Macaca fascicularis: one gene and its partners. The main gene of each other region encodes a partner of the protein of the gene in region 3 in a complex. Links are inferred from orthologs where the notes say so. Each region holds a gene or a part of one and is shown on either strand. Other genes may lie near its edges.

Region 1 (3,747 bases), on a different chromosome or scaffold from region 3:
TTAGGTAAATTCTTTATAAATACTTTTCTCTGCTTTAAAAAAAAAAGAAAAAAAAAATCTGCAGGCCAAAAGAAAAAAATGCAAGCTATGATTAAACCATAAAGCGTTCTTATAAAAAATATGCTTTATTTTGAACAAGGGATTAGATCTCCTTCAGAAATAACTATTATATACAATGTACTTTAGGCAACATACTTTTAATATTCCAGGTTGCTGCTTCTGTATAGCATTTTCAAAAAAAATATCAATTTGGAATCAGAAAAATGTACAAGTCAGCAGTTTAGATTTCTTTAATAGCACCTTATCCACACTCCATGTACAAGACAATGAAGACATTCTACATTCCTTTCAAAAAAAAAAAAAATCAACTAAGCATTACTACAGTTCTCTATTTCAAAGTTGCTACTTAAAAAATAATTATTTTTAAAAGCATATTCAAAAATCAATCCTTTGGTTTAAAGAGGTTTAGGGGAGAAATATCTGAAACACAAACCTTTAGTCAGTCAAAATCAAAGTACAGAATCCTCTCCTACAAAACTGCTTCTCCAAAAGAATCTCAAGCATGTTATCTCTGTAACGTTATCATTCTTACTTAAGCTTTAAAAAAAAAAAAAAAAAAAGATAAAAGAAATGATATACCCTAAAAGACTGGCTATACATACACTTTCATACGTCTACACAATCTGTATATACACAGTCATTACCAGTCAGCATAATATATGATAATTTGGGAGATCTCTCTATTTGGTTATTTTAATTACCTGTGTCAATGTGATCACCAGTAACCACACAAAAACCATTTTAAATACCCCTTGATCAATATGTTTGCTAATCTGTGAAAGTCCCTGAACCTGACTGATACCAAATGATAAGACTGAGGAGGGAAAAAGAAGGGGCAAAAGGGGGTTTTACTCCCACATACCAAAAAAATCAAGGGAAAATTATCAAAATACTAAGAGAAAGAATTCCAACTTATAACTGAATTTTAAGATGAAATATCTGGATTAAAATATTTCATTTAAAAAAATTTACCTGATCTTACTAGAGTGGGATCAATGATACTATGTCACTCGGTCTTTGTAGGTAAAAATCGCGTGTGTTGATTTTTTGGTCTGTATTGTAACACATTTAATAACATAATACTTTCATTTGAAAAGTTGGCGAGAATTTGCATTTCTCCATTAGTCTCATAGCAAAAAAGCATCTAGGCCACCCATAATTAAATGTAACTAATTACAATTTGAACACTAAATTATTTATCCAGTGTAAACAAGGATTAAGAGGGAAATGATGCTTCTATCTACAGCGGGGGTTACAGAAAATAATTTCCAAAATGTATGTTCTCCAAAAGGGACTCACCTCCCCCTAAAAAAACCAGGGTACACAACTAAGTTGGGTGTTTTTAAGGATAAATTAAATAAACTGTTCAGCCAATTTTCCAATTATATTCTACGCTTGAAACGTAATTGCCTTACATCTGTTTACAAATCTTTGCTCAATATTTAAACAAATTCGTACTCTCCTGGGCACATAGCTATACATACAGTAATTCATGCACAAAGCACATATTTAAAGACCACGCACTGCAATTATTAGCCTAAACGCCAGGTTTAACAACGTGAATGTTTTCAGAGGTAGGTAATACGACCCAATAAAAAGCAAAGATGGCATTTACCACCAAATGTCACTGCCACCGCCAGGAAAGAGTTGCTGGAGCCCTATACATTTTTAATTTCGATGAATCTAGACGCCGTCGGCGGGTGCCAGGCTTCCACGAGAACAATTGACACCCTAACTGCTTCAAGATTAAGGCAGGCGATTCAAATCCGAAGGAAAAGTTGTCAATTATCAGAGAGAGAGCGCGAGAGAGGCGAAAGCAGATAAAAGCGATGTTATCAAACCGCCCAGCTTGTTGCTTTTGTGTGTGTGTGTGTGTGTGGATTCGTTGTTAGGACAGAGAAAACAGTTTTTAAAAGACACAGAAGGAGAGAAAGAAAAAAAAGCTTTCTCCACCTTCCGTCGGCTCGGTGCAATGGCTTTACGGCTCTCCAGCGTAGTAAGCCCCGAGAGGCAAGCGGCTGTCGATGTTTACAATCGCGGGAGCTTCGGGTGCAAGAGTCCTTTCCTGACACAATCGCATTCAATCAACTGTTTTCGGGCGAAATTGCAGGTGTCATTATGGAATTTAAAAAAATTCAAAAGGCAGGCGGGCGGGCGGGCAGGCAGCCGATCCGACAACGGGGAAGAGGTTGCCGATCGGAGGCGCGGGCAGCACAAGGCAAAGCCTTCCACATTTAGGGGGGAAAAAAAGGGGGGAAAGGGGAGGAGAAGGGGAGTGCAATTGCAACAGAGGGTGGGCGTTCGAAGTGCGACCCAGAATCCGCAGCTCCGAGACTTCCACATGCAAATTCCACGCCGAGCGCCGCGCTCACAAATGATTTTTAAAGAGCCAAATAAACACTGGATGGGATCCAAGGCGAGAAAGAGACGATCCAAAAGGGGGAGAATCGGCGAGAGGCGAACGGCGGGGAGACGCGAGGGAGGGGCGAAGTCCCGGCGGCGGGAGGAGAAAGTTGGTCGGCGGCGGAGGTCGGGGAGCCCCCCCTCCCCGACACAGCCCCCTCCCCGCAGCCCGGCTACTCACCAGCGAAAAGAGGTTGGAGTGACAATCCTCCAGGCTCGCCCCGTTCGCCACCCAGTTCGCTGCCGCAGTCATGATCCTCCGCGAGCCCGGCCGCCAGAGCGGGGCATGTCGGAGCGAGGCGTCCGAGGCGAGGCCGGGCCGGGCGGCGGCGCCTCGCCGGGGAGCGCGGGGCGGCCGGGCCGCCGCCGCCGCCGGGGGAGGGCGCGAGGGCCGGCGGGCAGGCGGGAGGCGCCGCGGCGACGCCGCGCCGGGGGCGGCGGGCCCGGGCTGGCGGGGGGGTCCGCGGCGGCCGCGCGGCTCCTTCCTGCTCGGGCGGCGGCGGCGGCTGCGGCGGCTTCGGCGGCGGCGGGGGGCGCTGTCCGTGCGGCCCGGCGCCCACCCCGCCTCTCAGGGCCGCCGCTGCCTCCCGGGCCGGCGCTGCGGGCCGGCCGCCGCCTCCGCCTTCCCTGCTCCTCAGCCGCCGCCGCCGCTGCCGCCGCCTTGTTTATCTCCAGCCACCGACTCCCCCTCGGCCCCCGCCGGCGCGCGAGGGGAGGCGAGCCCCGGAGCCGCCGCCGCCGCCTCGGAGCCGCCGCCGCCGCGGAGCGCGAACTCGCGAAGGGGGGGGTGCGGACGAAGCCAGCGGGCGACCCCGGCAGCCGAGCGACGTCCCCTCCTTCCTCTTCCTCCCCCACCCCCCCCTCCTCCCCAGTCAGCCTCGCTTCTCCTCCCTCCCCGGGCTCGCTTGCTCTGACAGCAATGGCGGCCGCCGACCGCGGCTCGGCCCGCCATTGGCTGGTGCCGGGTCACGTGACGGGCGCCGGCCGCGCGGGGGGAGAAGGGGGCGGGCGGGGGAGGGGTCCGGAGTGGCGGCGGCGGCGGCGGCGGCTCGCGGGAGGCGCTGCTGAGCCGAGCGCGGCCGGGTCCTCGAGCCGGGAAGAGGGAGGGAGGGAGGCGGAGAGGGAGAGAAAGAAGTGCAGGCGGCCGGGCTCCCCGGCGGGCGGCGGACTGCCGGCCCGTGGCTGCCGTGGGCTGCCCCTCGTGGCCGCCCCGCCCCCTCGCGGTGCACTGATCGTGGCGGGGCGGGACCGTGGGTCCGGGGCGGGACCGTGGGTCCGGGTCGC
Region 2 (3,647 bases), on a different chromosome or scaffold from region 3:
AGCAGCCTCTGCCCCCCGTCCCCCCGCAGTACCAGGTATGGATGTTTCCAGGAAGGGACATGCTTCTGGGGACTTGCTGGAGCCCTGGCCCCTGGGGAGAGATCTAGTTGCATGTTGGAGCTTGTGGGATGATGGGAGTCCCATGGGACATTGGGAGGGTGGGACTCCTGGGGCCATGGAAGCTCATCTGCTAGGTGATGGGTGTCGTGAGCTTCTGAGCTCTCCCAGCTGGGGCAGCTGTGCCTTGTGGGGCCGTGGGTGGTGTGACCTCGTGGGACACCAGGATTGGAGGGCCATGGTCCTCACCAGTCCCTTTCCTTCTTCCCTTCTACCCACAGGTTCCTGGGAACCTGAGTGCAGCTCAGGTGGCCGCCCAGAATGCAGTGGAGGCTGCCAAGAACCAGAAGGCTGGGCTGGGCCCTCGCTGTGAGTCCTGGGGCGAGAATGAAGGGGCGGGCAGGGGCCAGGCAGGCCTCCCTCCACACACTTGTTCCTCACTTCTTCCCTTGGTCTCTCCCACAGTCTCGCCCATCACCCCTCTCCAGCAAGCTGCTCCCGGAGTGGGTCCCCCCTTCAGCCAGGCCCCAGCTCCCCAACTACCCCCAGGACCCCCTGGTGCCCCCAAGCCACCACCTGCTTCCCAGCCCAGTCTGGTCTCCACCGTGGCCCCTGGCTCCGGTCTGGCTCCCACAGCGCAGCCCGGGGCACCGTCCATGGTAGGTGCCTGCACACCTCCTGCCCCCACTCCTTCCTCCTGCTGCCCACAGCTAGGACAGTTAGAGGATGAGTCATTTGCCTTCCAGGGGGGTGTGGATCTGGTGGCCCTGGGGCCTTGGGGGTTCGTGGTACGTGTGCTGCAGATGCCTGAGATGAGGGTCTGGGGACGGAATGGGGAGGCTCATGGCTCCAGGTGGGTCAGGGCTGTTCTGAGAAACACAAGGAATCCCTGGGTTTGGGAGTCCGGGGCATCACACAGCTTATGAGTCCTGGAATCCTGCAGCATCCAAGCATTTCGGGTCCTGGGGCTGGCCAAGTGCTCTTCTGGGAATGGATGAGCAGAAGAAGGGGCCTTTCCTTCTTCCTGGTTTGCCCTCACAGGATGGCCCCCGGAGGCCCCCCTCTTTCCTCATTCTCATGGCCCTCCTTCCTCCTCTCTGGCAGGCAGGCACTGTGGCCCCAGGAGGGGTGAGTGGCCCTTCCCCAGCCCAGCTAGGAGCCCCAGCCCTCGGTGGGCAGCAGTCAGTCTCCAATAAGCTTCTGGCATGGAGCGGGGTCCTCGAGTGGCAGGAGGTGAGGGGCCTGAGGGTCCATTGGGCACTTGGGACTCCTGGGGCCATGGGGCTGGGCATGTGGGACTCATGGGTCACATGCATGGGGTTTGCAATGCTGGGTTTGGGGGCATTCCTTGGGCTGGACCCGTGGGATCCGGGACCAGGCCAGGAGCCCCATGGAGCAGTGGGACTTGCGGTACAGAAGAGAGTCCCCATGCAAAGAACCCAGAAAAGCCTAGGATTTGGGGCCCAGAGAAGGGCCCAGGTGATGTAGCACCTGGGGCACAGTGGATTGTGGGATTTAGGGGCCGGGAACGTAGCCCTAACATTTGAGGAATTGAAGGTTTGCTGGTCTGGAGGAGGGGCCAGGGGCTCATGGGACTTAAACTGGGGAACATCCTGAGCTTTGGGGCCAGCAGGCTAGGACATGAGGGCTCAAGGGGACTGAGGCTTATGGCCCATTTTACTTTGACATGCTCTTTTTCCCCCTCAGAAACCCAAACCTGCCTCAGTGGATGCCAACACCAAGCTGACACGGTCACTGCCCTGCCAGGTCTATGTGAATCATGGCGAGAACCTGTAGGTGACTGTCGGGTGGGGTGCGGTGGGGCTGGGGCTGGCCCCCTCCTCACACCTCTCCTGGCATCACCCCCCCAGGAAGACTGAGCAGTGGCCCCAGAAGCTGATCATGCAGCTCATCCCCCAGCAGCTGCTGGTGAGTGGTGGTGGAGGGCCAGCCCTGCTGCCAGGCAGCCCTCACCCTACTGTCTCTTCCCTGTTCCCTGCCCTACCCCCACTCCCTGCCTCGTGTGCCCACCTCACTTGCCCACACCAACATGCCAGCTGACTTCTGTGTCTCCCGCAGACCACCCTGGGCCCTTTGTTCCGGAACTCAAGGATGGTCCAGTTCCATTTCACCAACAAGGACCTGGAGTCTCTCAAAGGCCTCTACCGCATCATGGGCAATGGCTTCGTGAGTCCAGGGCATTGGGGGCCGAGGGGCATTAACTCTTGTACTGCTTTCTGCTGACCTTTGAAGGGAATCCCAGAGTGCCTGGGCCCATGGAAGCCGTTTTTGATGGTTGGGTGGACTTCATGCCCTTAGGTTCCTCGCCTTTCTTCTAGAGCCTTGACTTTTATTATAATCATCGTATGCACCAGATTGAGGGATATTCCACATTAAAAATGTGAGCTGGATGTGACTGGAGCAGTTAGGAGGAAGCTGTTGATTCTGGCATGGGTTTATGGGATGTGTTCGTTTCCTGTGGCTGCGGTAACACATTACCACAAGCAGAGGGGCTCAAAACAACAGAAATGTGTTCGATCCCAGTTCTAGAGGCCAGAAGCCCAAGGTCAGGGTGTTGGCAGGACCGCGCTCTCTCTAGAGGCTCGAGGGAAGGCCTCCTCATTGCCTCTTCTAGCCAGTAACCCCAGGCTGCAGGTGGCATCGCTCCAGGGTCTTCCTTGATCCTGTGGCTGTCTGCCCTCTGTGTGTGTCTCTATGTGGCATTTTCTGTATCTCTGTGTCCCTGTGCTTATAAGGACATCAATCATTTTGGATTAGGCCCCATTTTCCTGATCTCATCTTACTACAACTGCAAAGACCTTCTTTCCAGATAGAGTCTGGAAAAGGTGCTGGAGACTGGAACCTCAGTTTAGCTTTCTGGTTTTGTTTTTTGAGACAGAGTTTCACTCTTGTCACCCAGGCTGGAATGTAGTAGTGCAATCTTGGCTCACAGCAACTTCCGTCTCCCGGGTTCAAGCGATTCTCCTGCCTCAGCCTCCCGAGTAGCTGGGATTACAGGCATGTGCCACTATGCCTGGCTAATTTCTGTATTTTTTAGTAGAGACAGGGTTTCACCACGTTGGCCAGGCTGGTCTCGAACTTCTGACCTCAAGTGATCTGCCGCCTTGGCCTCCCAAAGTGCTAGGATTACCAGTGTGAGCCACCGCACCCAGCCTCAGCATAGCTTTCTGGGAGACACAGTTCACCTTGTAACTCGGGGAAGGAGCAGATCAGTTACTTCTGTGCACCAGGCATTCCTGCACGAAAGAGGACCTTAGGGATCACCTCATGGGATCCTCACAGAACCGTGTGAAGAAGGCATTCCTGAGAGTTAGGAGTGCTTCTGGCTGCAAATAACATAGTTTTCCAAACAAATAGATAATTGGGGGCACTCAGAAAAAATTTTCTCTTATGATTCTGTGAGTCACCTGGGCTCAGTGGCCATCTCGCTTGGGGACTCTCATGGAATTGCCATCAGATGGCAGCTGAGACTCTGGTCGTCTGAAAGCTTGACTGGGCTGGATGTTCAAAATAGGCGCTCCTCATAGGCCGGGCGTGGTGGCTCACGCCTGTAATCCTAGAACTTTGGG
Region 3 (3,630 bases):
TACTGGGACTGTGTCTCAATTCTTCAGCTGAGCATTCAAGGCCATCTCTCAGCCTGCCCCCTCCTAGCCTAGCCCCAGTGACTTCCCCAGCACAGATTTTACACTCCATCCAGGCCCTTCTCCCCAGACACCATCCTCATTCTTGTCCCCATGTCTTTGTTCATGTTACATCCTCTACCTGGAATGCCCTTTCCTCTTCTCCACAAATCCCAATCACAGCTATTCTTCAAAGGCCAACTCAAGTCTGACCTCCTTCATGAAACATTCTCTGATGAGTCAGGCCCACAGATACTACCCCGTACTTTTTCTCAATCCGCATTTTACCTCATAGCATACAACTGCATACCTGATTATATCTTTGCTCAGAGTGTTCTCTCAATGTTCTTCTGTAAGTCTCATCTCCCCAGCTATAGTAAAGATTCTTTGTAGTGAGGAACTATGCATTTTGGGGTTTTTTGCTATCTTTCTTCACCTCACCCAGTCCTGGTATAGTGCTGGCCACACAATGGGCAGTTAGTCCACTCCCCAGTGTTCTTAATCCCAAGCTTTGGAGTCTCTAAACATGGTTACAAGGCCTGAACTAAGGCTTGACTAACATTAACCATGGTGGGAGGATTCATTCATTAATCCATCCTGGTATTCAACCTGGTATTTAAAGCCGGTACCGGCTTTAGGACTCCTTATCATGTAGTTCATCTATGAACTCCAGATATTTTTTTTTTTCTTTTTCTTTTTTTTTTTTTGAGACAGTGTCTCACTCTGTCACCACTGCAGTGCAATGGCGCAATCAATCTTGGCTCATTGTGCGATTACATCTCACTGCAGCCTCAAACTCCCAGGCTCAAACAATCCTCCCACCTCAGCCTCCTGAGTAGCTGGGACTACAGGCATGCACCACCATGCCCAGCTAATTAAAAAAAAATTTTTTTTGGCCAGGTGTGGTGGCTCAGTTCAAGACCAGCCTGGGCAACATGGCGAAACCCCATCTCAACTAAAAATCCAAAAAATTAGCTGGGCGTGGTGGTGTGTACCTGTAGTTCCAGCTACTTGGGAGGCCGAGGTAGGAGGGTCACCTGAGCCTGGGAGGTCGAGGCTGCAGTGAGCCATGATCATGCCACGACACTCCAGCCTGGGCAACTGGAGTGAGACTCTGTTTCAAAAAAATATGTTTTTTTTTTTTTTTTTTAGAGATGGGATCTCCCTATGTTGCCCAGGCTGGCCTCGAATTCCTGGACTCAACTGATTCTCCCACCTTGGGCCCCCAAGTGCTGGGACTACCAGTGTGAGCTACCACACAGCCCAGATTTTTCCATGAGTCAGATAAACAATTTCCCCTCTCTGGGCCTCAAAGAACTGTTAAGGAAGTACACATGAAACTATTGGTCTCCAGGGTCCCTTCCAGCTCGAGACTTCTGTGGTTATGGGCTATGTGGCCAGATAAGTATTCTTGACGTCTCCGAAAGTTCTGACCAGTCCCATCACCTTCAGGCACGGGCTTTCCCAAGTCAAATGCTCCCTTATACCTCTGCATCTCTTCCTAGCTCACCACTACTTTGGGTACCTTTGAGTGGAGGTCAGTCCATGTCCATAGGTGGGGGCCTGCTGGTGCACATAGCCACTGGGCCGCTGTTGCAGGTGGCGGGTAGGATCTACAAGAGTAGGATTGGTAGAAGGGTGGGTGCTCTGGTAAGGCTGGCTGGAGTAGCTGGGGGGCACCATGGTACCTGCAGGGCCTGTGTGTTGCTGCAATCCCACATGAGAAACATAAGGAGTATAGCCCTGGAGGGAAGGAGGAGAGAGGGAATCAGGGCTGAGAGTATGCAAAGCAGCTTGCCTCATCCCCCGAGTCTCACAATCCCAGGCTCTTACCTGGGAAGTCTGCAAACCGTAGGAAGAGCTGGGAGTCATCTGATGGACAGATGACTGTCCCAACATGCCCTGACTCTGCTAAAGGGAGAGAAGAGAACAACTCAAACTCAGGAAATGCTTGCTGCCATCTCATCTCTTGTGTCTCCTGCTCTGAGTGTCCTTGTGAAGATCCCGTGTCTCCTCAGTCCTGTGACCCTCAAAAGCCCCTCTCCCTGACAGCCCTCCCTACTGCCCCTCTCACTATCTTTGCCTGGAGCTGTTGGCGAAGGCGCTGTCCTTGGGGCACCGCAGGTTGCTGCTGCCGGTACACAGAGGTCTTATAAGAGGAGGGTTCTAGGCCCATGACGCCAGTCATGGTTGTGGGCAGCACTCCAGGGTAAGTCGGTCGGGTGGGCAGCTTCTGCATTGGTAAGCGCACAGGGCGGTACGGGTCCACACGAGGGCCACCTGGAAAGGAGAGTGGGCTGACCTCTAGGCTCCTCATCCCTCTGTCTCTTGCTCAATGTCCTTGACATCCATAGCTCCTCAGGGGAACGGCATCACCCTTTGGGCAGGGGGAGTATACACCTAGGTCCCTCCAGCATTCCTAGTGACTGGCACTCACCTGCAGGTAGTGGCTGGTTCTGGGTGTACAGGCCTATGGAGCCTTGCCTGTAATTAAGGTGGGTTATGGAACCAGGGTTTGGGTGGTGCAGGAGGTCTGGAGGCACTGTCACACCATAAGGGCCGCTCCGACCCGGGCCCATTCCATAGTCCTGTGTGAGTGACAGAAGAAGAGGGTGAGTGGGTTGTAGCTGAGTGGGGTCGGGGAGCTGGGGGAGAATGAGGTAAAGAGGAGCTGGATTCGTACATGGTTAATTTTTATTATGATTCTAATGGCACCCCTTCCTTATGCGCCCCCACCCCTCCCACAAACCAGAAACTGGAGCGTCATGAAGTAAGAGGCTGTGGGAGAACTGTCATGGGGGAGACGCTCACCTCTGTCTTGGCAGCTGGCTGGCTGCGTTTCTTGCCCTTGGTGGACTTCTTCTTGCGTTCCTCAGTGCTGGGTGGAGCAGCCCCCGGTTTGTCAGTTTTGGGGGGCTCCGGAGCCTTTTTCTCAGGCTCTAGCAGGGTAGGAGCAGGGGGCTCCTCATCTTCTGGGGGCAGTGGCAGCGGCTCCAGGTAATAGGCGCGGGGCCGGGGCCTCAGGTGTGTGTGGTAGAGCAGCAACCGCTGCTGCTCCTCTCCTCGAGCCACTCGCCGGTCCACCCGCACTGTTCCAAACCAGCCCCAAGACAGCGGTGCTGACGGCTTCAACCCCTCAAAAAGATCCCAGGGCGAGATCTTCTGTTTGGTGGAAACCTGTAGACCCTGCTCCAGAAAATGAAAAACAATAAGCTGTTGGGACTTAGAAAACACAAGAGAGACCGCAAGCACTTGTAGGAGTGGGTAGAAAGTCATAGGTAGATTCAAGAGAGATGGTAAGAAACAGACAGACACGGATACACACATACATGCAGAAGAGAGTTATGCGGGGAGAGAGTGAAGGGTGGGGGACAGGGAGAGGTATGGAGGCGCAAGATGAAGCCAGCCAGGACCAGGAGAGGAGACGAATGAACGGGGCGGGCGGCGGGCGTGTGGGGAGAGAAGCCGAGACCGGGAGAGAAAGGGGTTGGGGAGAAAGCCAGAGAGGAAGTGGGGAGGGAGAGGGATTGACATTCAGAGGCAGACAGAAAAAGGAAGGCAGAGAAAGAGAGAGAGGAAGGCAGGGAGAGATTC

Evidence for each region.
Region 1: MED12 (region 3) and MED13L share a complex: the UniProt entries of both Homo sapiens proteins name them as parts of the mediator complex. The link is inferred for Macaca fascicularis from reciprocal best matches to the Homo sapiens genes MED12 and MED13L.
Region 2: MED12 (region 3) and MED25 share a complex: the UniProt entries of both Homo sapiens proteins name them as parts of the mediator complex. The link is inferred for Macaca fascicularis from reciprocal best matches to the Homo sapiens genes MED12 and MED25.

What each region holds. Positions count from the first base shown.
Region 1 is NC_088385.1:123,225,443-123,229,189, forward strand, and holds the start of MED13L (mediator of RNA polymerase II transcription subunit 13-like), read right to left. Parts: upstream 2,840-3,747; 5' UTR 2,717-2,839; coding exon 2,645-2,716; intron 1-2,644. UniProt on the Homo sapiens protein: Component of the Mediator complex, a coactivator involved in the regulated transcription of nearly all RNA polymerase II-dependent genes.
Region 2 is NC_088393.1:57,814,029-57,817,675, forward strand, and holds part of MED25 (mediator of RNA polymerase II transcription subunit 25), read left to right. Parts: coding exon 1-35; intron 36-338; coding exon 339-426; intron 427-522; coding exon 523-716; intron 717-1,161; coding exon 1,162-1,290; intron 1,291-1,764; coding exon 1,765-1,850; intron 1,851-1,928; coding exon 1,929-1,986; intron 1,987-2,136; coding exon 2,137-2,244; intron 2,245-3,647. UniProt on the Homo sapiens protein: Component of the Mediator complex, a coactivator involved in the regulated transcription of nearly all RNA polymerase II-dependent genes.
Region 3 is NC_088395.1:77,837,093-77,840,722, reverse strand, and holds part of MED12 (mediator of RNA polymerase II transcription subunit 12), read right to left. Parts: intron 3,223-3,630; coding exon 2,848-3,222; intron 2,625-2,847; coding exon 2,474-2,624; intron 2,317-2,473; coding exon 2,111-2,316; intron 1,948-2,110; coding exon 1,870-1,947; intron 1,780-1,869; coding exon 1,562-1,779; intron 1-1,561. UniProt on the Homo sapiens protein: Component of the Mediator complex, a coactivator involved in the regulated transcription of nearly all RNA polymerase II-dependent genes.